Linked DNA regions of Tamandua tetradactyla. The protein of the gene in region 2 interacts with the protein of the main gene of each other region in a pairwise test. Links are inferred from orthologs where the notes say so. Each region holds a gene or a part of one and is shown on either strand. Other genes may lie near its edges.

The links.
Region 1: the proteins of PPFIA1 (region 2) and PTPRD interact in a two-hybrid assay, tested with the Homo sapiens proteins (2 studies listed by BioGRID). The link is inferred for Tamandua tetradactyla from reciprocal best matches to the Homo sapiens genes PPFIA1 and PTPRD.
Region 3: the proteins of PPFIA1 (region 2) and PTPRS interact in a two-hybrid assay, tested with the Homo sapiens proteins (2 studies listed by BioGRID). The link is inferred for Tamandua tetradactyla from reciprocal best matches to the Homo sapiens genes PPFIA1 and PTPRS.
Region 4: the proteins of PPFIA1 (region 2) and PPP2R5D interact in binary tests that used the Homo sapiens proteins (3 or more experiments, as listed by UniProt). The link is inferred for Tamandua tetradactyla from reciprocal best matches to the Homo sapiens genes PPFIA1 and PPP2R5D.

Annotation. Positions count from the first base shown.
Region 1 is NC_135328.1:88,631,929-88,639,370, reverse strand, and holds the start of PTPRD (receptor-type tyrosine-protein phosphatase delta), read right to left. Parts: upstream 3,012-7,442; 5' UTR 2,973-3,011; intron 1-2,972.
Region 2 is NC_135335.1:4,371,060-4,378,999, forward strand, and holds the start of PPFIA1 (liprin-alpha-1), read right to left. Parts: upstream 3,002-7,940; 5' UTR 2,912-3,001; intron 1,559-2,911; coding exon 1,292-1,558; intron 1-1,291. UniProt on the Homo sapiens protein: May regulate the disassembly of focal adhesions. May localize receptor-like tyrosine phosphatases type 2A at specific sites on the plasma membrane, possibly regulating their interaction with the extracellular environment and their association with substrates.
Region 3 is NC_135337.1:76,748,749-76,756,651, reverse strand, and holds the start of PTPRS (receptor-type tyrosine-protein phosphatase S), read right to left. Parts: upstream 3,013-7,903; 5' UTR 2,897-3,012; intron 1-2,896. UniProt on the Homo sapiens protein: Cell surface receptor that binds to glycosaminoglycans, including chondroitin sulfate proteoglycans and heparan sulfate proteoglycan.
Region 4 is NC_135331.1:100,571,660-100,579,558, reverse strand, and holds the start of PPP2R5D (serine/threonine-protein phosphatase 2A 56 kDa regulatory subunit delta isoform), read right to left. Parts: upstream 3,015-7,899; 5' UTR 2,899-3,014; coding exon 2,872-2,898; intron 1-2,871. Other genes in the region: PEX6 (peroxisome biogenesis factor 6), read left to right, coding at 6,264-7,151. UniProt on the Homo sapiens protein: The B regulatory subunit might modulate substrate selectivity and catalytic activity, and might also direct the localization of the catalytic enzyme to a particular subcellular compartment.

The DNA.
Region 1 (7,442 bases), on a different chromosome or scaffold from region 2:
TGTCCAAAAAAAGCATAAAACTTGTTTAACTTAAATTGAACAGAACATGATTGTTTTTTAAATTAAACAACCAATCATCCAAGGCCTCAGGTTTTTTTTAACACCCTTTTTCTTTTATTAAAGAAGTTCAAGGGACTTTTGTCTCAAAGGGACCGTTCAATATGCATTTCCTGAACTTCAGCAAGTATACTTAGACTAACTCAAATGAACCACAGATTTCACACCATCAGCAAAAAAAGCTGGGGCACACAGGAAAGAGGATCTTTGGGTTGTTCTTAAGGAAGAAAAGAAAACCAATAAGTTGTCCAAGACACAGCTTCAGTCAGCGAGAGGCCTCTGCGGCCCATGGCTTACACTTTCAATCACTGGCCCTCCTTGGGAATTGTGAGCTCTTTCACTCTCCCTCCTCTCTACTATGAAATGTTTTCTCCAAATCAGTGTGGACTAAATCACTGTGATAATTCTCCCAAAAACATTTGCACTGAAAACATTATATTTCACCAGTGAAGGCAGCAGGTTGTTTGGTAATGTACATGCATTGTGGGGAAAGAGCTCGGGGTTCCAATTCCAACTCTTTCCCTTTTGGAGCTGTGCGATCTCAGTCATGTTTATAAGCTTTTCTGAGAAGTATCTGAAAAATGGAAACAATCAGATATTCCTTACATAATTGATTTGAAGATTATATGAAGTAATATATGTAAAGCCACCTACCCTAGTGGGATTAAAATGGGGAAGGGAGTCCTTGCTTCATTCTATTAGAGCAATGTAAAGTTCCAGGTAACTAGGTGTGGGGTTTTTTTATGAGACTGAAGGACTTTTTATGCATTCCAGATATGGAGCTATGAAGATAATGGCTAATGCTATTTAAATGAAAGGTTGAACTACCCCTACAGTTACTTCTTTTAATGGTAAAATTGAATAACAAGTACAAACACTGGCAGTCAAGTCATTTGTGTGGTTTGTGGGATTCTGGATAAGAGGATGTAAGTAAAGAGCTAGAACCCAGGTCTTACGAGGAATGTCATCCAGAAATGCTGACCAAATTCCAATGGCTTTCAGATTGGTAAATATTTCAAACACCATAACCATCCTGTCCATTGATAAGCTTATCTCCATTTTAAACTTTAGAACATCAAGGTCAAGGAGATTACATAGAAGCCCTGGGAATCTCACCCCAGTTTCAGATTTAGTCAGAGACAATGGCTCTCTCTACCCCAGCATGGGTGAAATCTGCTCTGTAGTTGCTAAAATAATGGATGATGGTGGGTAAACTAGTAGTGATAGCTTCTTAAATAATGGATTCCATATACATCTACTTTTTTACCCATGACACTTCAACTGTTAGCAAGAAACCGTTTTTTACGTGATGATAAGCAAGTAACACATAATAGCCACTAAAACAAAGCAAAAATAAATGAACAACAACAACAAAAAAGGAACAATAACAATCACAAACCTAGAACACAAAGTGCTTTTAAAAAACAATTTCTCACTTATTTGTATCTTTGTGCCAATGAAAATGGAGGTTACCTTGGTGAATCATTATGGTTTATGCTTTGGGATAGAAACACTGTCAAATACTGCAAGATTCCTTGGTGAATTTGTGCATTACAAGTGAGATCAATGCTACTGTTAACCTTTCCTTTGCCAGCCAACAGTAATTACAGCATAACTGCAGGGTAATTCTAAGGTTTTGTGTCCCTGAATGGAGGAGTAATTTGAAATGTTCCCAGTGTAAATTTGAATTGTTTAGCATATGCTTTCTGTGGATTAGAAATACACTTTAATGACTTATTTCATCACCCTAAATGCATGCTTTTCCCTTTTAAGTAGGCAAATGATTTCATGGGTATAGTGAGTTTAGAACATTTGAAATAAATCAAGAAACAGTTTCTTCACTTAAACATGGCTTAAATTAAGCATGAAGCAGGATTCTCAGAAAGATCAAATAATCCCATGATTACTAAAACTTTTTCTTTTTCAATGAAATAAAAAAATTACTCAATGCCTCTATTCTTTAAATCACTAAAACTTGAATTTTAGCTAACTCTCAACAGCCAAACAAGCTAACTAGCAAAAAAAAAAAAAAAAATGCAGCTTTCTTCACTGTTGTTTATTGCTTTCTTTCTCTCTTTCTCTAGAGCACAACCTATTGTATGTTCTGCCTCTATCTCTTTCGTTTCCAGTCCCTAATCTCTACTCTTTAATTTGGTATATCTCTCCTTTCTTCCACATGTTGATAGTGACACATATGTAATTTATTGTAAACCTAGATATAATTTATCTGTTAACTCTCTTTATTCTTATGGAGATCTGCCTTCTCCCTTATTTCTTTAAAGTATTTCAATTCTTCCCTCTTTTCATTTTTCTTACTTATTTGCTTTCCTTTTAACCACTATCCCATCCTTTCTCTGAGATAGTCCATTAATTGAATGCTCTTTCATCATCCCAAACATATCTCATTCCAATATCAGTGGTAGTTCTTAGGGAATAGCCCATGCCGTCCAGGTTTTCTGGTTTTAATGGTGTAATACCTCCATTACAGGTAGGGTTTGAGGGAATCAAGTCACTCAGTGACCTATTACCATAGACGGGCATCAGATCAAAATAAAATGATTGTACCAAAGTATTTATAACCATTAGCTTGTAAAAATTCATTCTTTGGTTTCATAATCATCCTTGACCTTAAAATCATGCCCATTACCTAGGGCTTGAAATTTCACTTTATCTGTAACCTCTTGCTATCTGCTTACCATATACAGAAAATTTATGTCAGTTTTTTTTAAGCCTCCAAAAAAATCTGAAAGTGTTGAAAGTTTACTTTTTTCCCATACTTCTTAATAAAATTATTAACATTTTTCTAATAAGCTACAACTGACAGTAGTAAAGAAATACTATTAAATAATAAAGAAAATTGGAAAGGCAGACAAGAAAACAACAACCACAAAACCCCAGCATGTTTTAAATCTTACTTGTTCTCTAGATCCCGCGGCTGTGCACAAGACGTCTCCCTAAACAAAGATGAAATGTGACAACAATTAAAATGTTGTTAAAAGATGCTATTAAAATAAAAAAGATGCTATTAAAATACTTTTTATTTAGTGATGCATTTTTTTTTTAACTACTTAGCTCGCGGAGAATTTCAAATTCCAATAAGAACTGAATTAGTAGTACTTTGGTATTTTCTTTCATACTCATTGTGGTAAAGGGCAACTTAAAACATTCCTTGTAAAGCAACAAGACAACAAAAATGCTATGATTATTCTAGGAAGAAAAATAAAAGTTTTGAAATAAAAATTCAATGAACTTTGTAAAAATTATACACAATATGAAAGATAAAACAGCTTATTATTTAATATATTTAAATAAGGAAACAAACTTCTTTTGGAAAAGTTTTTGAAAAATTCTTACAGAAGGGAATATTCTTTACAATGCAAACTTTTAAGATTTAATTATTTGGTAAACACACATAAAGCCCTTTGAGTAAAAACTGCTTTGACTAACATAAGGTCTTTAGAAAGACAGAATCTCCACAAACCAAGATAATTACTGTTAAAAAAAAAAAAAAGACAAATCTAGAACAAAATGTTTTTTTAAATTTTTAGTGAAAAATATTATTAATTGATGTTTTAAAAATCTATTTGAAAAACTGCAGGTGTCTCAGGAGTTTTGCTAGTCACTGTAAAACCTGAACAAATCCCTCTGGAATTTCTCCCAAAATAGTTACTAAACTTGCTCACCCTGAGTACACAACCCCCCCCACCCCCATTTTGGAAGAGTGGAAATGGAGAAATTAATTAAAACTCATATGAGCTGTTTAAGAGCAAGTGGAATTATTATTCCATTTCTGTAAAATTCCAGAAAATGTCAATTGATCTTAAGTGACAAAAAGCAGATCAGTGGTTCCCTAGGGACATGAGTGCAGAGGGGAGAGAGCTAAGCATTGCAAGTGCCATGAAGAAACTCTTGGGCGCGATGGGTATTTGTTATTTTGTATGTGGCAATGGCTTCTGATGTATATATGTATTTTCAAATCTCCATCAAATTGTAGTTTTAACATGGACAGTTTATTATATGTTAATTATTCTTTAATAAATTTCTTAAAATAAATGATTATGAAATATATATTTAATATGGAGGATGCAATATATAGATAAACCATTGAAAAAATTCATGGTGATTTATATTATTTCAATTTTTGTTTTAAAAGATTTAAAATGACTAAAAATGTGGGCTAAAAACAAAAGAACAAATGCATTTAAAAATAAAAATAAATAAATTTACCTTTTAAAATTTTTATTAAAAGATGATCTGGCTGTTGTCTGATGACTAATCCTGGAAGAGGGTGTTTGGGCGTGGATGTGCTGTAAGGAGGTTTGGGCTGTACCATACTGAATGTGGAGGTAAAGGCTGCTGGGTGGATTCAAGATACAGTTAGAAGGTATTAAGAAAAGGCTGGTTGGGTCACTGGGCGTGAGGGTAATGTGAAGTAAGGAACCAAGTACGATGCTCAAATTTCTGGTTTGAGAAACTGGATGTATGGCATTGCCGTTTCCTGAGATGGTGAGGATTGAGGCCTAATTAGGTTTGAGGGTAAGATAAGAGATCCCTTTTGGATAGATTACCTTTCAAATACCTATGAGACAACTAAATGCAAATGTTTAGTTTGATAAAGGTTTCTAGAGCTCAAAGGAAAAGTTGGATGCTACACAAATTATTTTGGGCATTAGTGGAATGGAAGAAAAGGTCAATGTGAATAAAGGAACCTAGAGTCAGTATGGGTTTATGTCACCCTTAAAAGTAACCAGAACTGGGGTAATAAGGAGCTCTGTGGCCAGAGGCTAATTTTAATGATTGCTTATGTTCCTTAGAGACTATTTCTAATTCTTGTGTTTTAAAGTCCACTTTATGGGTAAGAAAACAAAAGTATAATATTTCAGTAAATTAGCCTAATGGTATCTGCCTCTGATTTAATCTTTAAATTATCCTAAAAAGCTCTTGGATGTCTAATTCATTATTTAATAGGCATTATAATCGCCCTACCAAAAGTATACCTCTTAAGTAACATTGATTCATCTTTTTTTACATACATATTTTGTAAATCAAACTAGAAGTCAAGTATAGAGCCTTGCTAAAATACTCAACCTCAGTATTACTAACAGAACCTGACAACATTTTTTTTTTTTTTTTGCCACACGCACATAGAATGTGCAAAACTATAATATGACTGGCTAAAGGAAGCTGTAAAATCTGTACTGTGATTTTTTATGGCATAGTTTCATAATTGCTATAATAGTGTTCTTCAAAGTAATGCTCAGTTTGAGAATAATCCATGAAAAATTTGATTTTGATAGTTTCCATTTGCTTTCAGCCTTGCTGAGATGTTGGGAAATCATGTAACCTTGCTGAATTTTTGTTTCTTCATCTATAACATGGGAATGGTGCAAACAACTTCTCAGGGTTTTGGCGGGATTAAATGAAATAAGTGCTCAAAAAAAGTCTTACATGGTACAAGGAACTATACTTTGTGGAAATAACACCACTGCATCAATAATAATCAGACATAGAAGCTAAGGGGACACCCAAATTACTAAAAAGAAATATTCATCGTGTTTATTTTGTGCACTGCACTTAATTTCCAAATCATTATCATGTCTAGAAATAAATAAATTATCAGCTCTTCAGATCCTAAAGAAAGAAAAAAAAAATTCAAGAACTTTATGTTTCTTTATTCTTAGTATACTTTGCCAAATTTAAGGTTTTATCATGTGATAAAAATGAAAGGTCTAGCATCTACGCATGGCACAATGTCTGGACTGAGACACAATTCACAAAAATGGTTCTTTGTCCCGACCCACGCGGCAGATGAACCTGGACCTGAGGGAGGGAGTGAGAACAGATGGGACAAAAGACACAGAAAATGGAGACAAGACAGGTTTCTGATCACGTCTCAATTTATTGAGGGTAAATGCAGGGTATTTATCCAGCGGGACAGGGGAAGTGCCTTGTATCAGGCGTTAGCAGGTGATGGGCATTGCACTGCAGCTAGGCCAATCTGCAGAGACTAAGATAGCAAAGGTGGATCAGCCGAGGTTGGTCAGCTGATTTGGGGGAAGGGCAGAGCAGAAGTGAGGAAATAGAAATTTAACTTGAGTTAGTCCCTAAGATGGCATCAGACCACAAGATGGCCGGCACACTGCCGGTGCCATAAGCAGTTTCCCACAGTTCTTCCATCTTCCTCGTTCCTCTCTTTAAGTTGCTTTTAAATCTTGTATTTCATTTTCCCTACTCATCATGATACCTCTCATATTTTCATTCTCTCAACTTGGATCAAGATTAAATTACTAATTATTATTTTAAAGGAACAGTTTGTTTTTATTTTCCTTTTTACAAAAATTAATGCATATTTTCCACTTTATAAAAATAATTCAGTGTTTATCACTAAGAATTGTTTAAAAATGCATTGAAGGAGGGTGCACGGGTAATTCAGTGGTTAGAATGCCCGCCTTTCATGCGGGAGACCCAGGTTTGATTCCCTGACCATGTACCCCCTCAAAAAAAAAAAAAAAAAAACACTGAAGGAAAAAGAAAAAAAATAAGTCATTCAAAATCCCATTTTTGTATATTGTGATATTTTATTTCACCTATCAATTTAGCCAGGTTATGGTATCCAGTTGTTTGGTCAAACACTAGACTGCTTGTTACTGTGAGGGTGTTTTATAGGTGGTGTTTGCACCCATAATTAGTTTATTGCATCTACACTCTCTCTCTCTCACATACACACACAAATTATACTATAATCAACAAAGGGGTTAGCTTTCAGCAGTGCCAAAAGACTCCTCATCCAATTAGTAGGAAGTCTGAAAAGCCAGAACTAAGGATTTCAGAGGTTAGAAGAATTTCTGCCTCAACTAGACCATTGCCTTTTGCAATTCCCAGCCATCCACCTTCCCTGGGGGATATCAGATGAAGGACTGGGGCATCACCTCTATTGGAGTTTCCAGCTTGCATTCTGCCCTGCTGAGATGGGGCTGCACCCAGAGTAGTTATGTGAGCCAATTCCTTATAATCTTATACTCTCTCTCTTTCTCTCTCTCACACACATACACACATACACACAATATACTTACTGTTGGTTTTATTTTTCTTGAGAACCCTAATACAGTAGCCAATCAGTCTTCTTCCTTTTTATTTTTGCACAAGCAGGCACTGGGAATTGAACCTGGGTCTACGGCATGGCAGGCGAGAACTCTGCCTGCTAAGTCACCGTGTTCTGCCCCAATCAATCTTTTTCTATGTGTTAATATATACTGTGTAAATTCAACAATGATTTCTTATTGCTCCTCTTGTTTACTTACTTTTCCATGAACATTTTTAAATGATGTTATTGTTTCATACAACATTGTTAGGTGCTGCAAAGTTTTATCTTGTTTTAAATTTTA
Region 2 (7,940 bases):
TGAGACTCACCCCCACTCTCTTTTATGTCCTTTGTGTACATTCTTTAAAAAAACACTTCACTATATGCAGCTCACATCACATGAAAACAAATACCATTATTAAAAAATACTGAAAAGAGTTTCAAATACAATAAAATACTAATAAAACATGATAATTTGGCCAACTCTTTTAGGTATATGATAATAAAATCTTATCTAAACAAACCTGGCAATTTAGAAGATTCTAACCAGAAAAAAAAACTTAGTGATTCTTCAATCCAACAAAAAAGGAATATATAGCATTAACATGAAAAACTAGTTGCTAAAAAGGAAATCCAAATGTTTAGCTTATCAATTTTTCAAGAGAACTGACTAGAGCCAAGAAACGCATTAAGGCTACTAATTATTAATTTATTAATTTACCACTACAGATTCATCATGAAAGTATAGATGTATGCTTATTCAGGTTCACCTTAAAGCACCATGAAGGCACACTCTCTGGCTAAATAAAACGGCACTTAGATATCTCAGAAACACCTAAGTAACCCACACTGCTCCAACTACACTCTGGGTGAGTCACTGTACACTTTTCTAGTTTTAACTTTCTCCCCATACCATCATTAAATCCTCATTCAATTTCACTAGAAAAGGCTTTGAAACTCGGATTCAAACGTAACGTACTTCAAGAGTAAGCTCTTCCACGTGACTTTAAGCTTTAGAATTCTCATCTGCCAACACAAAAATTACTAAGGAATCAATCTCTAGTCTTCCACCTCCAAAACAAGCAGGATTTACAGAACACAGGTGTTTTAGTAAAGGTGGGCTGTAAAAACAATTATTTTTCTGTGAAATTAATCCTATCTTCCTATTAACTTTCACAGGAAATTGAAATATACAAGATACAATCCATGGGAAATACACTTCTGTCAAAAACAAAACAAAACAAAAAAAAGTTCAAGAGACCTGAAAGTACCACAAAGCTTGACTGCTTCACAGTCCTTTTCAAAAACTTTTCAAGCACTTTCTCAAAAACTTCAGAGCACTTTCCCAAATCAGTTTCTTCTGTTGCACCAAGAACAGGATGACAGGCATTTTTACATAACTTTAAAGTAAAACAGAGTTTGTTCTCCTTGAAAAGTTTAATCCTCAGGAATTTACTTTCTACATCTGACTTCCAATCACCAGAAACTAACATTTCATGAGTAGTTAATTATACAAAATACACATCGAATGTATGAGCAGTGCCACCATTAAAAAAAGGAAACCAAGTAATGGGAAAAACCTATAGTGTTGCAAACTGAAAGCACCCTACCTGTGGAAGTGCAGTATTGAGCTGTCTCTGCAAGGAGTCTCTCTCATGGCCGACCTCATGCAATCTCCCCTGGGTTAGAGCCAGCGTCTCCTGCGTCTCCCTCAGTGTGTCTAGAAGGCGATCCCTCTCTTCCAGCATAGAGACCATTAACTGTTCGAAATGGGAATCCGCATCTGGCTGTGAAGGGGAACCCGATCCATGGCTCCCACCTCCTCCTGGGGGGGGGCCTTCGGCTTCACTGATGGTCGGCATCACCTCACACATCATCTTGAAAGAAGAGACCCAGAAGGCTGTTATTATGCATAAAACAATTACTGCCCCAAATCTGCTCCCTTATAGGTATCTGGAGCTAACAGATGAGAAGTGACCATCTCATTATTCTCAGATGTGATTGCTGGGCTTTCCCCATAAGCCGGGAAAACAGGCATGTGCAAATCCTAAATGCTGTGGCATGAGATGAAGACACTGACACAGACAATATCCCAGCGAAGGAGTAGAGACTGAAGAGAACTACTCTTCACATAAAGAATCAACCCTGTGGTATTCTGCTTGCAAAGCTGCTATTTTTGTTGTTGTTGTTGAAAACAAGCCTGCTTCTTAGCTGGTTTTTTGTTTTGTCTGTATTTCCCGGTGGGGGAGAGAAAGCCAAAACACATGCCACCTGATCATTTTTGCAGGAAAAACACAGAAGGAGCATAGACAGCCAGTAAAACTGACAAGTACAAAATCCATCGGGCATTTCCCAGGAATGTGTGCAGTCAGCTACTGGGAAGGACTGACGGCGCTCCCTCAAGTCTTGGGCTGGATTTGGTGAACAGTGAAAGGAAGTGGATTCCTGAAAGGCTGGGAGAGGTGTTTTTCAATGGCTACAATGGTTGGTCAATCAACCTAACTTACGTAAGTTTTCAGCACACGCGCGCGCGCGCACACACACACGCACAAAATTCCACAATGGAAATATAGCAGGTCGATATAGCCCTGGACGCTAGGAAGCGAGGGAAAGTGAAAGGTGAGTTTATGAGGCTATTAAGCGTCTCAAACATAACCACCGGGCGTGGGGGGGGTGGCTGCTCCTGAGGTGTCCGGACTGGATCCCGGGTCACCACCGTGAACCCCCAAAAGAGAGATGTCAGAGACAGCACACCCGACGGCGCTCAACCCCCTGGCGCTCCTTTCCCCTCCCGCGTCAGGTGCCGCAGCCTCCCCAGCCCCTGGGTGGCAGGAGCCACCCACAACGCGGGCCCTCCCGGGTAGGGGCTTCCAGCAGCCACAGGTCTTCGCCCCTCACGCCCACCGTGTCGCCGCCCCCGGAGTCTCTGCGGCCAGAGAAGAGGGCGGCGCGTCGCTCCGGCGCCCGGTCCCTCGGGGCGAGTGGGCGCGTCCCCCGGGGGTCCCGCGGGCGCTCGCCGCGGCGCTCCCACCCTGGCCCGGCGCCGCGGGCCTCGCCCCCAGCCCCGTGCGCACCCGGAGACGCAGACCCTTCCCCCGGGGCTGACATCTGAAGGGCGGCGCAGCCCGGCGGCACGGACGGAAAGGCTGCCCGCGCCGGGGCCCGGGGCGCGCGGGGACCACCCCGGCCCGCTGCGCCCCCAGCCCACCTCAGTCTCCCGGGTCCCTCACCTTGTCACCGGCGGGAGCGGGCGAGGAGGCTCCGCGGCGGCTGCGGGCGGCTGCTCGCTCCCGGCGAGCTCAGGGGCCGACGAAGGCAGCCCGCGGCCGGCGCCCGCCCGCCCGCCCGACTCCCGCGGCCCCGGGCCCGCCGCCCCCAGTCACTAAGGCCGGCCGGCGGCCGGACACTGGCGGAGCGGAGGAGGAGCGGGCCCGGCCTGCGCGTCACCGGCGTCAACGTGCCCGACGTCGGGCACGTCGGCGCGAGCGTCGGCGCCGGGGGCGGGCTCGCGGCACCGGCGACCCAATGAGCAAGCGCCGCCTGCCCAGGTAGGGGGCGGGCGGAGTCTTCCGGGCGTTGATTGGCTGGGCGCGACAGCAGCCCCGCCCCTACAAGCTCCGCCCAGGTGAGGGTCCCTGTGCGTACACGACTCTGGGATCCGAGCTCCGGGCTCAGCGCTTGCGGCTCGGGGCTCCCGCTCGCCTTCCGGGGCCGTGTGTTCGGCCTTGGGGCCGCCGATGTGTCCTCCCCACCCAGCCTCCGGGACACCCGAGGCCTTTGTGCGCGGCCGCTGCGCACCGGCATTTCCCGCTGGTCGCTCCTCCACTCACCTGGGTGGCGCGGGCGGCGGTGGGGTCCCCGTGGAGAAGCGACCCCGGGCTCCAGGAACTGCTCAGAGCCGGGGTCGGAGCCTGCGAGCGCCGCCTCCTCCGAACCTGCCCTTACCGCGCTCACAAGGACGCGGTTTCCACGCGACACTCCTGGATCGGGCTCTACCTGCCCTACCTGGGGAGACCCGGAGGCGCAGCGTGGCGCCGCGGGGAGAATGCGGGCTTTGGGGCGGCCACGCCCGGGTCAGCTCCCGCCCCTGGGCCCGGCCGCCCAGGGCAGCCCCTCTGGGGCTCGGCGTCCGGTCTCCCCGGTGGGGCAGTGATTCACACCCACCTGCCGCGGGACTAGTGGAGAGCCTGGCTGGGGCGGCCCTCGCCTCTGGTGGTCATTTTTACCCTTCTTTCTGCAGGTGTTTTTGAACGCGTGCTCTGTGACGGTCCTGTGCTGGCTCTTGCAGATGGATTTGATCTATAAAAGCAGGCGCTGCCCCTCCGGGTTTGACTCCTGGAGCGCAAACTTTGCGAAACAAATGTCAGGACACCAGTGCCGGTCACCGCTGGCGACTGTCCGGCCGTAGGAAGGCAGCCACGCCCCCCGACTGCGTGGGGTGGGGAGAAGAGAGCCCTTCTCTCGGGATTCCCGACTCTGAGCTCGCTGAGACAGGTGCTGCTTCTGACGTTCTTACCTCCCAGGGTCCAGTATCACACCTTCCCTCCATCTTTCCTTTCATTCGATAAGTGTGTATTGAGTGATTACACATAAATATGAAGTTTACCCCTGGTTCTCAGGTTGTTTTTGCAGACACCATGAAATGTGTGAGCTTCGACAATGGGAATTTACTACCTGATGGTTTGGGACCATGAAAATGTCCAAATTAAGGCACCATGAAGGTGATGCTTTCTTCCCAAAGACTATATGCCTGTGAGCTTTGGCTCCTCTGCCACGTGGCAGGACACAGTGGCATCTGCTGGTCTCTTCAAGGTCTCCTTGCTTTCAGCTTCTTCTAGGCTTTTTGTTTTTCTTTCTTGGTATTCATTCTGTTTATAAAGGACTCTAGTGAAAGGATTAAGTCCTGTCTTGAATGAGGTGGGACACACCTTAACTGAAGTGTAGCCTTATCAAAGGATTCTATTTGCAATGGGTCCACACCCGCAGGAATGGATTAGATTTAAAACATGTTTTTCTGGGAACAGACAGCTTCAAACCACCTGCAGGCATTCTAGCTCTCCTTAGGTGTACCGGCCTAATTCGTCCAACCCATAATTACACCTGGATGAAGATTTTGGGGGGCAGATGGAGAATGTGGTGCTGTCCAACCTACATCACCCTCCCTCCTTCCCCCTTCTTCTCTTCCTCCTTTCTCCTTTCTCATTCCTTTCTTTTTCTTTTTCAGCCTCTCTATTTCTCTTTTTCTTCCCTTCTCCTTTCCCTAAAAATAGCTAAATTAAATTAAAAAGTACCTGACTTGTAAGAAATAGGCACAATCACCAGAATGTGATTCAACAGGACAGACCCTCCGTTCCTGCAGTGAGCATTTGCCGAGCACGCGTGAGTGGCCTAGGTCTGGGGACAGGGCTCTACTTAGACATCTCCACCTCCTCCTCCACAGCCGGGAGGGGAAAAGGCGAATAAACAGACTATAATAGTGCCTGTCCCATAAACTGCATGTGAGCTGGTGTGCTGGGACCCTAGAGGAAGGAAGAACCCACCCACCAGCTGTCATCTCAGAGGCTTCCTGGAGGAGGCAACATCTGAGCTGGAGCTGGAAGGGTGAGTTTTCCAAGCAGAAGAGGGACAAACCCCTCTTGGTATACCTCCAGGAAAATGGAAATACCGGTTTTCATTCACTTTGATCCAGTTCATTTCCCAAATCGCAAAACCAGGAAGAAGAAAAAGGGCCAAGGGAAAGAGACTTGCACTGCAGCTGGAATTAACAGAATGCTTTGTGACATTCACAATTTAGGAAGCTAAGGCAGGCAAAAAAATGTATACTGTGCTTGTGATCTGTGTGTATAGTGTACATACACTAATATGTAAGCTATACCTTAATTTTTTTAAATGGGAAAAAAATTTAAAAAGCAAATTACAGTGTGATCCCAAATTTGAAAAAGAACGTATGTATAGATGAAGCTTATATTATGTAAAATTTATATATTCAAAGTCTAGAATGTTATTAAATAATATGATAAATTTTAAAACAATGAATCTATTTTATTAAATGAAATATTTTAGAAAAGTGAAATTAAAATGTAAGTCTCAGGTTTCTAAAAGAAAAGTATATATGTCTACATAGGGAAGCCTTTTATTGTATTCAAACAAATATTATTTTTTCCTAGAAATAGATACATAAGAATGTTGGCAGTGGTTATCTTTGAGTGGGACTGTGGGTAGTTTTCATTTCTTTCTGTTAGTCTGTATTTTCCAGATACTTTATTGAGAATGTGCTTTATTTTTATCAGTAAGTACAAAAATGAATGTTACTTTAATAAAATCTTGGCAAGAACGAAATATGGAGAGTTGCTTTTGGGAAGCTAAAATGACTTTTAAATGTAGTTATTTCTATACCACCCAGCTAAACTATACACCAGAGTTATTGATCTGAAAAGCATCTCCTAGATTGCATGTCATCCTGATAAGGCTCAGGAAAACCACAAAGATGGAAAATGATGTTTTCACCCCAGTTTTTCTGTTAAAGCCTTGAAAAAAGAAAATATGGGGAGAGGGGTGGTCCCAGAGAGTCTCTTACCAGGACTCAGGTTGTGCCGCAGAAGCAACAGCCTGGAATCCCAACCCCCTCAGGGGTGGATGGAAATTTAGATAATGTGGTTAGTTGTCAATCAGAAGCCCCACCAGGACCCCCAAGCAAGAGATCCCCCATAGAGGTCAGGGTGTGGGCCCTGCCCACCTAGAATTCTAATGAGTGGCCTGTTGACAGTGTGGGAGGGTCTCAGCCATAAGAGCCCGTGGGGGTGTGGCTGCTGATTGATTGGCCCACAGGCCCCCCACGAGCTGGGGACAAAGGTGGGACAGGAGCAACTAGACATCCAGCGCTCTTGAATTCTGGTCCATGTGCCAAGTTGTTGTGATCAAAGAATGTTCTCTTTAAGGGTCAAGCAAAGAGAAAGCATTTTATCCAGGGGGGCCCCAGGGTGGCCTGTGTAATCCAATCCCCAGGACAGGAGCTTTGGGCCCTGGGCTTCCCTGGCTTGGCTAAAGTATCCCTTAGGGTCTGAGTTTGGTTTCCCACATGTACCCCACTAAAGGAGAGATCTTTAAAGAGGAGAAAGGGAAAGAAAGAGAGCTAATGTTTTGTTTTTTCATCTCATTTAATTATTAAAATCATCCCCACACTGCTGTTCCCCTGTTTTCCCAATGTGGCAGAAGAGGAGACGAAGTTCTCAGTGGCCACCAAGCAGGGGAGCTGCCTGAGGATTCTGGTATCCTCCGCAGATAAGCCAATTCATTGAATTATTGGTCTATCAATGAGCCCGCCTTGAGCTCGGTTAATGCGTGTCTGTCCCCAGGAGCATGGACACCTCTGTGAACTCATGGGAAAATCACGTTTGCAGAGTAGTTTATCCTTATGACTTCACCAGATCCTCTAGGGATGAGAACACAGACTAAATTATGCGTCCAACACCTCGTAGCTCATAATTTGGGAGAGGGGGAAGCAGCAATTGAACCCAAGACTCACTGGCTCCAAAGCCCCTGTGTTCTTGCTGCTACACTGAAGTGGCCTTTCCAGGACCCCAAGCTGAGGTCAAAACCCCCAGATCAATGACCGGCCACCGAAGTACTGCCCCCTATGATGGCTGGGGCGTACGGATTGCCCCAGCACAATGCCAGTTTCAATGAATGCGCCAGCTCTGAGGGCTCTCGCCACCTCCTGCACTGGCACAAAGGCGTTTGCCTCATTCATCTGTGCAATTATAGTTTGAAGGAAATCGTAAACCTCCCGCCACTTGCTTTTCTTGACAGCTTTATCGTGCTCATCAGACGGAGCCACATAAAAAAAATGCCATCCATCCAAGGAATGTGCAAGTGGCTGCACAATGAGAGGGGACCGGCTCCCTCCCAGCTGGCTCCCAGCTCTGGACCCTCTTCCCCTCTTCAAATGTGTCCCTTCCTCACCGAGGTTGTTAAGTGTGGACTCCGGAACCAGGAAGCCAGGTTTGAACCTTGGTTCTGCGTCTTTTTACCAATGCTGTGCATCCTTAGGTAAGATGCTTGACCTCTCTGAACCTCCAATTCCTCACTTGTAAAGCAAGGCTAATACCACCTTGCAGGATTGCTGCGAGGGTTGGGTGAGTTGGAAGCACTTGTATTAGCCATTCCTACTGCCACCAGAGCTGCCTTTGGGGTGGGGCCATGTGCCCAGACCCCCAGAGCAAACCAGGGTTGGTCCAAGCCAGACATCACGATCTCCTT
Region 3 (7,903 bases), on a different chromosome or scaffold from region 2:
ACACCACGGGAGGCGGATGCCTGTGCTTAAGGGCTCGGATCTGCGCCCACCGCACATCGCCTGGTGAGGGACCCTGGGGGAGCAGCCAGCCAGCCCCCAACCCCACCCCTCCAATGCCACCCCTTAGGCCACGCCAGAATCACCCATCATCCATCCCCACCAGGGGATGAGGGGCAGGCCAAGCCACCGCCTCCGGGGACAGACACTGACACGACAGTACCAGCACCCCCCCCACCTGGCACCCCTTCCGGGGGGGGGGGGCGGGTGGTGCCAATGTCATCGGCTAGGGTGACAGAAATAGAAAAGGCCATAAGCTCACCAGCCAGGCTGGGTCTCCCGTGATGGTTCTGTTTGCCTGAGCCTAATTACACCAACTCTCAGAGCGAGTGTGATGGTCCCCAAGGGGCTGGGGGGGGGGGGAGTGCCCCATGCAGAAGTGCATCGTCATGATAAAGGGACAAACCCCCTTGGCAGGTTTGGGGGTGGGGGGGTAGGGTGGCCGGGGCAGTATGAGGCTTTCTGGAGGGGAAGCACCTAGAGACACAGACAGACAGCAGGCAGAAAGAGATGCCAGGCGGAGGGCACTGGCGGAGAGGGGGGACACTGGAGGGGTGGTTTGTCCAGTCACAGGTCCAAGCCTGTGGGCGCTGGGATTTGAGAGGCGGGGAGCGGCCGCCCCCAGCCCCAGCTGCCTGTCTTCCGCCGCCAAAGTATCATCTGGCAAAGGAAGAAGAAAGGAGCCAAGGGACAGAAGGCAAGATTGGCAGGGGGAGGGGGGTACAAAGGAACCCGGGGAGGGGGAGGGGAGCTATGCAAATGGCAGAATCGACCGAGTCCCTCGGTCATTAATAAAACCTCCAGCAGCAGCAGCAGCTGCAGCAGCTGGCATCACCGGGGCAGAGGCGCCGGCTGGCTCGCTCACTCTCTCCTCGCGGGCAGAAAGCGGCTCCGAGGGGAAAGAAGGGTGCCCCGGACAAAGAGGGGACCGTATCCCCTGCACCCCAGGGACAGCAGCCATGGGGGGAGGGGGCACATAGAGAAAAGGCTGGAATCCCAGCAACCAAAGTCAGGGTAGAAGCTGGTGGAGGACCAGAGAGGGGGGTCCCCAACCTTAGGACCCTTGGAGAACCACTGGCTTTGTCCCAGCTTCTCAGCATCCCTGGCACTCAGCTGGGACAGGGGATACCTCAGACCCCCCTCATCAGCCGCGGTGGCCAGGCTGATTTTTCAGGGGTTCAGCCAAAGGTAGACTCCACCGATGCTCGGAATGGGCACTCTAACCCCCGATTGAGATAGGGGTGCGAGGGAATCCCGGCTGAGCAGGGAGGGAGGGGAATGGCCCCCCTGAAGGAAGTGCTAGGGAGATGGATTTTGGGATCCCTAAGAGGTGGCTGAATTTGAGGGAGGGTGGCCGAGGAAGGGGTGCCCTCAACAGATGCATATTTGGGGAGCCACTGAAGGAAGATTTCAGATGGGGGGTAGGCGTCACTGAAGAACCCGGGTTCCAGATTGGGGGGGGGGAGGTGTGGCTGAGGAAAGATTCCAGTTTGTGGGGTGTTCCCTGATTTGAGAATTTTGGAGAGAAAGAGGCTGAATGGGAGTTCCCCAATTTAGGGGGGGGGAGCTTTGGTAGGCAAAGGGTCCAGGATTTGCCGGGAACAGTGCTAAGAAGGGATCCTAAATCTAGGAGGGGAGAGTCTCCTGAAGAGCAGTGAACTTGGCCCCTAGATTGGCCGAACCCACGCGTGCAGGGTGCAGAGATGCTAACCCGTGGGGTCTCCCCTTAGAACACGCCCCGCGCCCCCACCCCGCGCCCCCTTCAACCTGATTCCGACGGACCCGCCCCCAGGGATGACGTCACCGCTACCCCCCAGTCCCCCCAGGGGGCTCCCGGGGCTTGCAGAGTCCGCGGGGCTGGTAGCTCCAGGGGCGGCTTCCCCTCTCCGGGGATCCCCACGGGGCCCCCAGCTCCCGAAGCGAGGTCGGGGTGTCCGGCGCGTACGCCGGTCGGCCGGAGCCCCTGGGGCCGGAGGTCCGGGCTCGTCCCGCCTGGGGAAAAGAGGAGGGGGCGCCGGGCCGCAGAAGGGTGGGGCAAGGACAAGGGTGTCGGAGGGGCGCACCCCAAGGGATCTACGGGGTGGGGAGGCGGTGAGGAAGAAAGTGGGTTGAGTCAGGGGTACCCCCGGGGAGGGGGCAGATCCGGAAAGAGCAGGCGGTGGGCGCCGCAGCCGCCCCGGGCGCACCGGCCGGACCCGTGCCCCCCACCCCCACCCCGGCTCCCGTCTCGAGCCACACATCCTAGGCTCATCTCCACTCCGGGGCGCAGCGCACCCCCAACACAGCGCCCCCTGCCTCCAGAACCCATCCCCGGTCCAGCTGGGGCCGGCACCCCCGCCACACACACTCACACACACTCACACACACACACACACACACACACACACAAGCGCGTCCCCCCTCCGCGCTTCTGCCTCGCCCGCAGCCCCGGGTGGTGCAGCCCGCGGCGCTTGGGAAGCTTCCAGCGGGGGGCTCCGGGCCATTCCCACCCAGTCCCCCCACACACACTCCCACGCCGCGGGGCGAAGTCCCCCCTCCCCCCGCCAGCAGAGCCCTCCCCGCGGCCCAGCCCCTCGGGGGCATTGTTGGGAGGCAGCTCTCCCGACGCAGCGCTGGGAGGGCAGCGGGCTGCAGCCGAGCAGCCTCCCCCGCGCACAATGGCCGTGCGGGCTTGCCGGGCACAAAGCCGGCGCGCTGCCCACTCCGCTGCCGCCAAGAACCCCCCACACCCCACCCCCAGCCGAGCGCCTGGATGGCTTTGCGGGGGTGGGGCTGGGGGACTGGCTATTATTTTTCTGGGGTGGGGGGCATCGAGGGCATGCATCTCTTCCCCCGTTACCTGCAGGCAGGCTGGGCTGGGCTCCCCGGGCTCTGCCCCGCTTCACATCCTGGCTGGTGCATGGAAGCCGAGCGGAGCCCCGAGCGCCAGCGGCTCGCGGCGTGCGCGCGCCGGCCGGGCTGCCGGGCGGGCGGCGCGGGGACACTCACTGCGGCTCGCGCGCCACCCCCCCACCCGCCCTCCCTAACCAGCCCAGCCGGTGACGTCATCCCTTCCGCCAGCACCGCCCGCCGCCGGCCCGGGGGCGGAGCCGGCCCGCGCCCGTCACTGCGCAGCCGCGCAGTCGCCACGCCCCCCTCCGCCAATGAGGAGGCACGGGCCCGGCACGTGGTCCGGGGGCGTTTAAAGGGCCGCGGGAGCACGTGGGGACTGCCGGGTCCCGCGGAAGCACGTGGGCGGCGGTGTTAACACAGAGGGGCCGCTCCGGCCCTGGAGGCCGCGGCGGATGTCATGTCTGGCTGTAAACCCTGCTGGGGCTCACTTTTAGCCTTTGGAATCAAAGCCAGCTGCCTCGCCTCGGCCCACCTGGCCCGAAATTCCCACCCACAGCCCTGGCCCTCGGGTCACCCAGCTCCGGGCCTCTTCGGGTCCCTCCAACATGCCAAGTTCGTTCCTGGCTCAGGGCTTTTGTCCTTCCCTTTCCCCCTGCCAGGAATGCTTTTCCTTCTCCTCCTCTTTTCAGATTTCCACTTCAACCTCAGCTCCGGGGAGAGAGCCTCTCTGGTCGGGCCGCCAGCCATTCCATCATTCCCGCTTGTATTCTAGTCACGCTAGGATGTGACTCCATGAATGAGGGGACACGCGCAGAGCCCTCTCCTCGGGGACTGGGGATCCCTAAATATTGACTGAATGGATGAGTGAATGGATGACGTGGGGGGGGGGTGCAGAGTAACCACTTCAACACGCATCTCACCTGCTGTGACCGTTCCCTGCTGAGGTGGAGTGAGGACAAACCAGCGCAGACTGTGACTCGCTGTGTGGAACCCTGAGCGTCAGTCTCCCCACTTGCAAAAATGGATTTGCTTCTCCGGGTCTCAAGCGCCCCATCTGCCAGAGGGGGCAAAGGTAGCGCCTCATCACGCAGACAGCGTGAAGATGGATTGTGAGGATGTGCCTGCCTGGCCTGTGGGTGGGGAGAACATATGAAAAAATTAAAAAGTTACTCTCACGGGCAGTGGTGGGGCAAGTTTGGAGGCTCAAAAATGCCAACCCACATTGCACTCGAGTTACCGTGTTTTTGAGTATGTTGAAAGCATTTATTTCCTCCAGGTACATACATAGAGAGGTCCAGATGCCCTGAGAGGGAATCAAGTATAGAATTTTGTGTTTTGGTTTTTTTCCTCTAAAATCGTTGATTCATTCATTCGGGGCTAAAGAGGCAGATAAACAAAGAAGCATTAACCCCGGGAACAAAATGGGAAGGCGGAAGTCATAAACAGGAGAAGAGAGAGGAGATGATGAATAATTAAACAAAGAGCCTAAATTAAGCTCCTGAGTTTCCCAGCGGCCAGTGCAGCGGGCAGGTTAGTGGAACCCACTCTGTCGTCCTTCCTGTCTGAATGACCCTGGCCTGGCTGTTTTCTTGTCTCCATTCAGAGGGGACACTGCCCCACCTTCCAGGACAATATGGGATGGTCTGTGCGCGGATGTCAGACCCACTAGGTGTTCAAACCTCAAGTGCTCGATGGAGGCAGGAATGCTGGGGTCTGGAGGGTCTGGAGCCTGGCCCAACCTCCTTTTTCTTTAAGGGGAGGGACCTTGCATGAATCACTTGCATACTCTGAGCCTCAGTGCCCCCATCTGCAAAAAGGGATACTTTGAAGGCTTCTTGTGATCAAACAAGGAAAATACAGTGTCATGGGTGGGCCACGGTGGCTCAGCAAGCAGAGTTCTCACCTGCCATGCCGGAGACCCGGGTTCGATTCCCGGTGCCTGATCATGCAAAAAGAAAAAAAGATACAAGTGCCGCATGTACCCAGTAAACCCATCCGTTCAGCCTATGCACTGGGCTGGGGAGACAGAAGTAACCCAAGCAGTGCACACAATCCCTGCCTCCTGGAAGTCACACTCCTCATACCTTGTTGGGGATAAAAGCCCGAGTCCTCCCTGTAACCCATAAGCTCCTGAACGATCTGCCCCCCACCTCGTCCCTTTCCAGCCCTCCCCTCCTCCCATTCTCCCCCTCAGTCCCTCTGCTCCAGCCACAGGGGCCTTCTAGCTTCTCCTCCAGCAGGCCAGGCCCAGTCCTGCCTCAGGGCCTTTGCACATGCTATTCCCTCTGTCTCTAATTCTGTTCCTCCTACTCTTTCCAAGGCCAGATCCCCCTACACCATCTAGTCTCTGACAGCTCCCCCACCATCCCACCAAAATGGTCACACATGGCCGTCTGCCTCCCGATGCCAGAATATCTACCACAATTCAGAGTAATTTTATGTTTTTGCCTGTTCGTTTTCTGTTTCCCTCTCTAGCCCTGCTTTTCCTGCCTGTAAGTGAGGATGATAATAGCCTCTCCCTCCTAGGGTTGTGAAACAAGTTACAGCTTGTCCAGGCAGCACCGGGCATGGAATACGGACTCAAGAAAGGGCTGCTCGATAAAAGTGGACATTGTAAATGGGAAAATCGGGATCGCTGGCCAGAAACGGAAGTTGACCATAGACAAGAACATAATATTCTAGTGAGATCCTGGCTAGAGGTGGGCAAGTTTCAGAAAGACCTTAGGGTTGCAGCAGCACAAAACCAAGGCTTCCCACGAGCCAAACCTTGCAGATAACTGAAGAGGGGAGAAAAGTGCTCCCCAAGGGAGTGGTTTGAATCTCAAAGTTTTGCACTGGGGAAAGCACTAGAATTGGAAAGTGGGGTGTGGAGGGCACCTGGCACGCTGTAGGTGTGACTTATTGTTTGTTGGGTGAATAGTTTAGTTAATGAACAATTCCCTCTCTGTGGAAGGGGCCCTTCTCCCCATCCTTTGCCAGCCAGACCTCCCCCCCACACCCTACTGTCTCCCAGCACCTGGCAATTAAATCCATTGAGGGTTTTTGGGTTTTTTTTGGGGGAGTGGTGCATAGTCTGGGAATCGAACCCAGGCCTTCTGCTTGAAAGAAGAGCATTCTACCACTGAACTACCTGTGCATGCTCCATTGTGGTTTTTTTTTTTTTATTTATTTTGTATTACCAAACCAAAACAACACGCAAACATGAGCATTCTTGACATGCAGACATTCTGTGCATGGTGTACAATCAATGGCTCACAATATCATCACACAGTAGTATATTTATCACCATGATCAGTTCGGTTGTGTTTTTTTTGAGACAACTCTGGGGGTCCCACCAGCAAACCACCAGCCGCCTGTTGCTAGGTTTGGACACAGCCACTCTCAGGCGCATTCAGGATCCGGATTTAAATTCCTGGGAGACAGGTTGGAAATATCTCTGCTACAACATTGCCTCACGACAAGAGATTCCACCATTGTCACATAGTCTTTCAAATTGAACATCGCTCTCTCTGCAAGTTCACTTCAAATGCGAAAGAGCAAGGGGACAGGTGGGAACCACCCCCCACACACACACACACACACACTCTGCTGAGTGCCTTGCTCTTCATTGGGCTCCACGTGGGATCCACTGATGCAGCTTTGCAGGTAAGGGTTGGAATTCTGGAGTCAGGCAGGCATGGGTTCAAACCCTGGCTGTCACATTTGACAAAGGTCAATGTGGTAGTCTGAATCTGTGGTGGACCCCAGAAAAGCCATGCCTTTTTATCCTCATTCAATATTGCTGGGTGGGAGCATTTTGATTGTTTCCATGAAGATGTGACCCACCCAATTGTGGGTGGTAACTCTTGATTAGATGATTTCCATGGGGGTGTGTCTCCACCCACTGAAGGTGGAGTTACTTGCTAGAATCCTTTAAAAGAGGAAACATTTGGGAGAGAGTCCCCTTTTGGTAGAGCCACGTGAAAGCCAGCAGGCGCCGCCATGTTCACCACGTGCCCTTCCAGCTGAGAGAGAAACATTGAACGTCATCAGCCTTCTTGAACCAAGGTATCTTTCCCTGGATGCCTTAAATTGGACATTTCTATAGACTTGTTTTAATTGGGACATTTTCTCGGCCTTAGAACTGTTAAACTAGCCACACATTAAATTCCCTTTGTTAAAAGCCATTCCGTTTCTGGTATATTGCATTCTGGCAGCTAGCAAACCAGAACAGTCAACATCCGTTTATGATTTAAAAAAAGAAAACAGATTAAACAAACTAAAAAAAGAAGGAAACGCCTCAACCTGGTAAAGGACATTTATGAAAAACCCACAGCTAACATTACACTCAATGAGGAAAGACTGAAAGCTTTCCCCCAAAGATCAGAAATGAGACAAGGATGCCCGCTGTCACCATCGTTATTCAATACTGTACTGGAAGTTCTAATCAGAGCAGTTAGGCAAGAAAATGAAGTAAATGTCATCAAGATAAAAAAAAAAAAAGGGGATTAAGTAAAACCATTTGTATTTGCACACTCAACAGGCTTGTACATAGGAAATCCTGACAAAGCCACTAAAAAAATCTATTAGAACTAGTAGAAGAATTCACCAAGGTGGCAGCATACAAGGTCATAAACAGGTATCAATTGTGTTCCTATGCAGTAGTACTGGACAAACTGAAAATGAAACTAAGAGGACGATTCGATTTATAATAGCTCAAAAAAAAAGAATTTAGGAGTAGACCTACTAAAAGAAGTGCAAAACGTATATGCTGAAAACAACAAAACATTGCTGAAAAATGAATGATAACCTAAATAAATGGAAAGATATCCACGTTTATGGGTTGGAAAACTACACATTTCTAACATAAGCAATTCCCCTCCCCCCCCCAAAAAAAAAATAAAGGTGATCTACAGCTTTAATATAGACTGTATCAAAATCCCAACTGGCTTCTGGGCAGAAATTGGCAAGCTGATTCTAAAATACGTATGGAATTGCAAGGGACCCCCCAAAAGCCAAAATAATCTTGAGAAAG
Region 4 (7,899 bases), on a different chromosome or scaffold from region 2:
CCAGTCATGGGCTTCTCCAACAGGGCTGACCCATCTGCACACACGTTTGATTTCTCTTTTTCTCTACTTGATCATAAGCTCCTTATTCTTTATTGTCCCCCTCCACCAACCTTAGGCACTTACCACAATGCCTCAGACGTATCCCTCAGGGAAGGTACCTAAGAGATATTCTTGCTGCCCTTGAAGCAGGGTGAGTGTGGGAGTGAGTGTGTGTGCATGTGGGGAAACTAGGCCTGTCACCCTTGTTTCCTGGGTCTTGGAAACAGGTATGTATGTACTTCAGCCTGGCCATGCACAAGTGCTGGGGAGCCCCATGGTTTTAAAAAAATGGGTTTGGGAGTCAGCCTTATGTTCTGGGTCCAACTTTTCCTAGCTGTATAATCATGGGCAAGTTAACTAGCCTCCCTGAGCCTCAGTTTCCTCATCCATTAAACGGTGACATACACAGTTCCTACCTCCCTTACAGAGTGCCTGGCATGTAAGAACTCTAAAGGTTGGTCACTATTATTGTTATTATGAACAAGAAGAAAATGGGAGGGAACAGGGATACTCTACCCAGGAACCTAAATAAGAGAAATCCCAGGTCAGAAAAAGAGGGAAGGGGAGGGATGAAAATCTCCCCAAGACTGACTCAGCACCTATCCACATACAGCCTACTGTGTGCAAGGGAGATGCTAAAACCAAAATGGTGTTTATCTCAAGGGGGAAGAAAAAATTTGTCCACAATAAATTCCAGTCCATAAGCTGCCTATCAAGTGTTCTGCAAATCGAGGGGATGAGGGAGAGTTCACTCCCAACTGAAGACTGACAAGACTTTAGGGAGGAGACTGTAAGGATGGCCAGGATTGAGACTAGGAGAGATGAAGGAGAGAGGAGAAGTGATGTGTGAGCAATGAAGATCCTCTACTCACTGGCCACTCTTTCTGCCCAGCCTCATCCAGGCAAACCTCAGTCTCATTTTTACCTCCCTCCTCCCTCAGGACTTACCAACTATTGAAGGAGGCCAAATGCAGCCAAAAATCAAGCTGAAAGTTAAACCTGAAAGGGAATCAGCGTTATGCCTGGCTGCATGCACCTGATCCCAACACCCTTTCTCAATCAAATACTTATACCGTGGCCCTCACAAGTCTAATTAAGACTTTTTCTTCTTTTCAATTATCCAGTAGGCAACAGCTCTCTGTGGAAAGGACAGTATCTGCTCCATCAGAGTAAAAGCTATCAATGGCGGGGACCTCAACTGAGTTCTGCTCCCTTCCACATTCCTTGAAGGAGCCCCTAGTGTGGCTGACCTTTATGTGCATCATCTACAGCTAAGCTGCCCCAATCACCTTGCATGCCCACTCCCCAAGGACAGGGGCACACAATCCTGCCCAGCTAGCACCCCAGGAGGTTTAGTAGCTATTATACTATCACCAAACCCATATTCCAAACCTCAGGCCAAGAGGTTATGGGGACAACCCAGAATCACAGCTGCCTGGCAAATCTCCAATAGCCCCAGGATAGAGTTTGATTGATAAGGTCCTAGAGATGGCAGCCTAGCAACTTAGCCAATCCAATCAGAAAGCAAATGAAAGCAATACACCTCTGGGGTCATAAAGCGGGCAGCCAGAACACCAGGCCAGAGCCAGCCCCACCATGAGGGGCCGGTCCCAGGGGAGGAGAAGCTGGGGGTGGCTGGAACTGGTATTCTAGCATCCTCTGTGTGAGTCTGTACCTCAAAGGAACCACACCTCTGAGTCAGACCAACAGCAACAGCAGGAAACAGAGGGTAGAAAAAAGCAGGGATGAGGAAGAGGGAAAGGTGATATGGCTCAAGAAGAGGAAGGTGGAAGAAGGCAACATCAAGAAATGGCTTGTGTCAAGACACCATGACAAAGGCATGGGTGTCCACGGGTGGCTGACCCATGGGGGTAAGAAGGAAAACTAATCTGACTTTGAGACCGATTCCTGATTTGAGAACAGTGTGACCCAGGAAAGACAGAAATCCAGCACTGCTGCAAAAATTAAAAATGCAAAGGTTATCCTAGGATTAGGAATAAGGGGAGGCGCCTGCTCAGATTAGAAAGGATGACTAGTCTAGGATGAATCTGGGAGCCAGTTGATAACTGCTGGGGTTGGGAGTGGGGGGCTTTAGGTCAGGAGACCCGATACTGCAGCTCTGCTTCCGGCAGTCTGTGTGACCTTGGACAAGTCCCATCCCAGGACCTCAGTCCCCTCATCTGTCCCACTAGAGGCTGGACTGCCGGTGCTGAGAAGTCGTTTCCAGTGCTGACGTTCTGAGGCTCCATCCACAGAAGGAAGGGCTCACAAGTTTGTGTGTGAAGAACTAGAGGGAGGGGCCTAGTCCAGATTCGGGTGGAAGAGAGAGAAACCTGCCTCCTGGGTCAGGGGGCTTGGCGCAGAGAGAGAAGGAGGCCATCTAGGCGGTGAAAAGAGAAGGGAAGGGGCTCTGCAAGGGGGAGGGGGTAGATCTGGAGCGAGGTGCTTTCTCAGATGAGTGGGGCTGTCCCTAACGGGTGTGGGGCGGAGGGGGAAGGTTGGGAGGAAGGGGCGGGGGCGAAAAAGCAAGGGAGTGACCTGGGAGTGGGGCAGATCTGGAGGGAGGAGGTTACCCGGGGCCGGGGATAGGAGGCAGGAGGAAGAGTGGGAGGTGTATTTGAGAGGAATGGGTTCCGGCCAAGGTAGGGGAGCTGTCCCAGCTGCGGCACAGGCTGGTGGTGCTGCGAGCCGCGGGGCGACAGGCTGGACCGGGGAGTCCTGCGGGGGCCAGACGGGAGGGTCAGTCTGGGCTGTCCCGGGCCTGGCTCGGGCCCCTCCCAGAGCTCCGCGCAGGCCCCAAGGCGGAGGCGCGGGGGAAAGGACCACGCTCACCTTCTCCTTCTTCAGTTTATAGGGCATCTCGGCCCGTCCGGACCCAGCCCGGCTCCTGCGGCCCCGCTCCGGCCCCGGCTTTGCTCGGCCGCACTCGGCCCGCTCCGCCGTCTCTTTGCCACCGCCTGCGCGCTGCGCCCCGGTCGAGAGGTGTCTGCGCCTCCAATTGGCCCGAACTCTTACAAACCTGCCTGACAACCCGGCGCCGCCTCCTCGGATTGGCCATTGGAGCCAAGCTGCTTCCTTTTTTTCCCATTGGAAAGAAAGAGTACAAACCGCCAGGGTTCAGCTCCCAGAATTGGTTGAAGTGGGAGGTCCCGCCTTAAAGTGGGTCGAGCTTAGCGAAGGAGGCGGGGGTAAGGGGAAACCCAGGCTTGGCTCCGAGTGCAGTACTCCAGCGTACGGTGTGCGTCGGCCTTGGCCATTCTTCGCAGCCTTTGGAGCTTTGCTTATTCCTTCCAGAAGTGGTTCTCACACTTTCCCCACTCTGCTAACCTGCCCAGTCTGAATTGAAAGAAAGAAGCCCTAAAATGAAGGGCAGTTTCCTTCATCGGAGCAAAGCAGCGCTTAATTGCATGAGCAAAATTAGTAGAGAGTGGTCCCAAGAGACCTCTGAGGGTGTCTGCCTCCCTGGACGGGAACTGCAGAAGAACCTGACCTGGCTGCCATCTAGGGTTCTCATCCCGACTTCATTCCAATTTTGGGAAGTGGGTCGCCAATTCCTACTGCAAATGTTTTGAGATTGGGGAATCAGCTAGACTTGAGCAGTTGACAAGACAGAAAAGCAACTCCATTGCCAGTGTCTCAAGAAATCCATCCCTTCCCTCCATCCTGCCCAAGCCAGTGACTTTATGGATAAGACTCATTAGACTCATTTCCTGACCTCAAGGAGTGCACAGTTCGGCGGCATTCACAGATTTGTAAAAACAGATGATTAAGATACAATGTGATAGGGTGGTGCAATCCTGGCTGGATTCCTGTCTGCCATGCTGGAGGCCCGGTTGGATTCCTGGTGCCTGCACATGCAAAAAAAAAAAAAAGATACAATGTGATCGACCAACTACACAAGCCTAGGAGAGGCTTGAAGACATATGTTTCAGAAAGGCCACTTCAGCAGCAGATTGGTTATATGAAGAAATTGGAGAAGGTTCATCAAGAATAAGCCTGTGTTTCGTTTTATTTCTTATTCTGAATAGATGCAGATGTTCCAAGAAGTGATCATGATGATGAGTATGCAACTATGTGATGATATTGTGAATTATGGATTATATATATAGAATGGAATGATCAAAATAGGAATGTTTGTGTTTGTTTGGTGTTTTTGATATTTAAAAAAATAAAATAAAATAAAAGAATAAGCCGTGGTCCTTGCTCAGGAGAGCAATGCTATAGTACAGTGGCCATGGGGGTGGAGGAGTTGGAATTGGGCAATATGTAGGATCCAACAATGATGCACTGGATTATGGGGGGTGGTAAAGGAAAGGAGGGAGTTGAGGATGACTTCAGACATCCCAGAGACGTAGGAGGAAAGCTGGTGTCATGACAGCAAAGGGAATAAAATATTTTCAGGAAAGAGGACTGGTTAATAGTGTTAGATTCTAGAAAGGTTGAATAAGATAAAGATCAAACAGCAGACCATGGATTCTACAATTGGGAAGTTATGGGTGATCTTCACCAGGGGAGTTTCAGAGGAGTAGAAGCAAGATTATGGTGAATTGAAGAGTGAGCAAGAAGTAGGAAAGTAAAGATGGCAAATACAGGCTACTTACAGAACTTGATTGACTTTTCTATGACTAATGATGATTTAAAAGTGAGCAAAATGATGGCATGCCATTATTTACTGGGGGATAAGCCTAGGAGGAAAGGACATTTATTTGTGGAGGGGTATTTGTGTCGATATGGGTAATGGGACTCCAGGCAGGATGCCAGATATATTTACCCATCTGCAAGACTCCAAGAAGCATCACAGCCCTGAGGCCTAGAGTTTGCCTGCTTCTGTGTAAAGCAGGTATCTTCCTTGCCTGCCTACCTCCCCTCCACTCTCCCAGTCCTTGGTACCACTGGTATGCAGGGGACAGAGCCACATATAGCTTAATGCTACCAAAGGGGAACTTTCATCCATGAAATCCAGGTACTTAAATTCATGAACACTTTTGTATAGATGTGGCGGTAAACAACTTTTTAAGTTTTTTTTTTCTTCCCTTTCTGGGGACAGATATTTCTCATAACATGCACATCTAATATTCAACTTTCAGATATTTGACTTTCAAACTTTTTTTTTCAGGAGTGCATAATCTACAAAGTAGAAGACTGCTTCACAATGTTTAGCTGTTAAGGAAAAGAGATAGCTGGGCAGCAGCTAGAAAAGACTGCTAAGTTCAGAAAGTAAATTCCCACCATTCAATCCACTGACGTTCAGTGCAAATATAGTAATAATTGCAAATGTGTGGCTTACCAGTGTCTGACTGTCTTGTACAGAGCAGTGGGGGTGGACACAAGGATGGAATTTAAGTTACAGCACAAGTGGGAAGCAGGCTTGGTGCTCCGTGCTTATGACAGAAGCTTCGACCCCCTCCCATAATTAGGCCTGCTCTGCTGCTCTCTCTGCCTCCTCTAAGGTAGAAACGGAATGGGCTCCAGTCTGTGAAGGTTGGTGGGGGAGAGCAACTGGTTGGGGGGAGATGAAAGAGCAATGCAGCTTTGTCTTCGCTTCCATTCTTGTGGGAGTAGAACGAACAAGACAATGAACAGGACAAGAAACGTTGGAACGTGGGTTTTGTGTAGGATGTCTGTTGGAACAGGTGTGGCAGCACCAAGCACTCCAGAACTACATGAATCACATGTAGTATTTCAGCCAGCAACCACTACATATCCATAAGCAGGTCTAAGACAGAGTTTTATAACCCTACCACTTCCTTCTGCAATCGTCCCAATTCCCAAACCTCAGTGCCTGCGGTTCCACTGCGGGCGCTCACAGGAGGATGGACTCCCCAAACACTCCACCCACAGATCCCAGTACCAAGCCAAGTTCAGACACGCTGGTTGTTCATTGGTCAATTAATAAACTGTAAAGCGGAGAGCACGTTACTCTTCTAAAAGGTACGGAACGTAAACTCCTGTAAACATAGGCTCAAAGGGCGCATGCGTAAAGGCTGCGCAACCGCCGCGTTAATGGTTACTGCCATCAAGTCACCATCCTGATCAATTAATTCAAGGCGCCGCGCATCCCTCTCAGAGCATGCTCGCCGCACGCGACCCACTCCCGCTTTCTTCTCGCCTCCCTTGACGGAAATGGAAGTGGAAGCGGAAGCGGCGCACACGTCGTTGCGTCGCCCCGCTTGCTGGCTCCGGAAGCCGCGATCTTTCGCCTTCCTGTTTGGACTCCTGTCAGTATGGCGCTGGCGGTGCTGCGAGTTCTGGAGCCCTTCCCTACCGAAACGCCCCCGTTGGCGGTGCTGCTGCCACCCGGGGGCCCCTGGCCTACGGCGGGGCTAGGCTTGGTGCTGGCCCTGCGACCTGCAGGGGAGAGCCCGGCAGGGCCCGCGCTGCTAGTGGCGGCCCTGGAGAGGCCGGGCGCGGGAACTGAAGAGCAGGGCTCAGGCTCAGGGCCCCCGGAGCTGCTGGTTAGCCGCGCGCTGCTGCAGCTCCTGGCACTGGGCTCCGGGGCGTGGGTGCGAGCGCGGTCGGTGCGGCGGCCTCCGGCACTGGGCTGGGCGCTGCTTGGCACCTCGCCGGGGCCCGGGCTCGTGCCACGGGTTGGGCAGTTACTGGTGAGGCGCGGAGAGGTCCTCCCTGCGCCCGGACCACGGGTGCTGGAGACGCGGCCGGCATTGCAAGGGCTACTGGGCCCGGGGACGCGACTGGCTGTGACGGAGCTGCGCGGGCGGGCCAGACCGGGCCCGGAGACTGAAGACGTCTGCCGGCCCCCACCCCCGCCGGTGGTGTCCTCCTTCGCAGCTCTTGGCACAGTCCGGCGACTTCGGGGAGTTCTGGGAGGGACCGGAGACTCACTGGGGGTGAGCAGGAGCTGTCTCCGGGGTCTTGGCCTCTTCCAGGGCGAGTGGGTATGGGTCGCCCGGGCAGAAGAGACATCGAACGCTTCGCAGCCGCACTTGGCCAAGATGCAGGTCCTGGAGCCTCGCTGGGACCTGTCTGAGAGGCTGGGACCCGGGTCTGGACAGCTGGGAGAGCCCCTGGCTGAGGGAATGGCTCTCGTCCCTGCCACTCTGGCTTTTAATCTTGGCTGTGACCCCCTGGAAATAGGAGAGCTCAGAATTCAGGTAGGATACTGTACCAAGATCAGGAAAGCGTCCTCTTCCTTATCCCCTCTTAACTAAACTAGAAGACCAGAGCTGTAGAATTTAGGCCCCTTACTCCTTAGGATCCTGAACCCTTCATTTATGTCTCTTAGCTTTATCCGTTCTTCATAGTCAAATCTAACACGAGCCTCCATAGTGTGATGGTGCATGGGAAGGATTTTCATCTATTTAGGTGAAAGGTGAGAGTCAAAGGAAAATTGCCCGGTGTGAATAGTAATCTTAAACTAATCAGTTTATTGAATTGCTGCATGGTATCCAGTATTGGGGGGATAGTATGAAAGATGATACCTCAGTGCCTTTGCTTTAGATACTTATACTTGACTTCAAATTCCATCTTAGTCTTCAAGCCTTACTGTTAAAATCCTACCAACCTTTCCTTCAAGGCCCATCACAAGATGTCACTTCCCTCCCAAAGCCTTTCATAATTTCCCCATATTTCTTCTGCAGCATTTTGTACCCTACTTAGGCATTTATTTTATTCTACCTTTTAATGATTATGTAATCTGTTTAATCTCCCAATTATAGATTGTAAATTCTTTGAAGGAAAGGGCTTTTTATTACCTTTGATGCCTGGTATTTAATTTTTATTTATTTGTGTGTGTGTGTGTGTGTGTGTGTGTGTGTTTAATTTTAACATTTAATACATCTGAAAGAAGGTTTTGGTTTCTGACTTTAAGGATCTTACTTTAAGAAGACAACTGTATTTGAG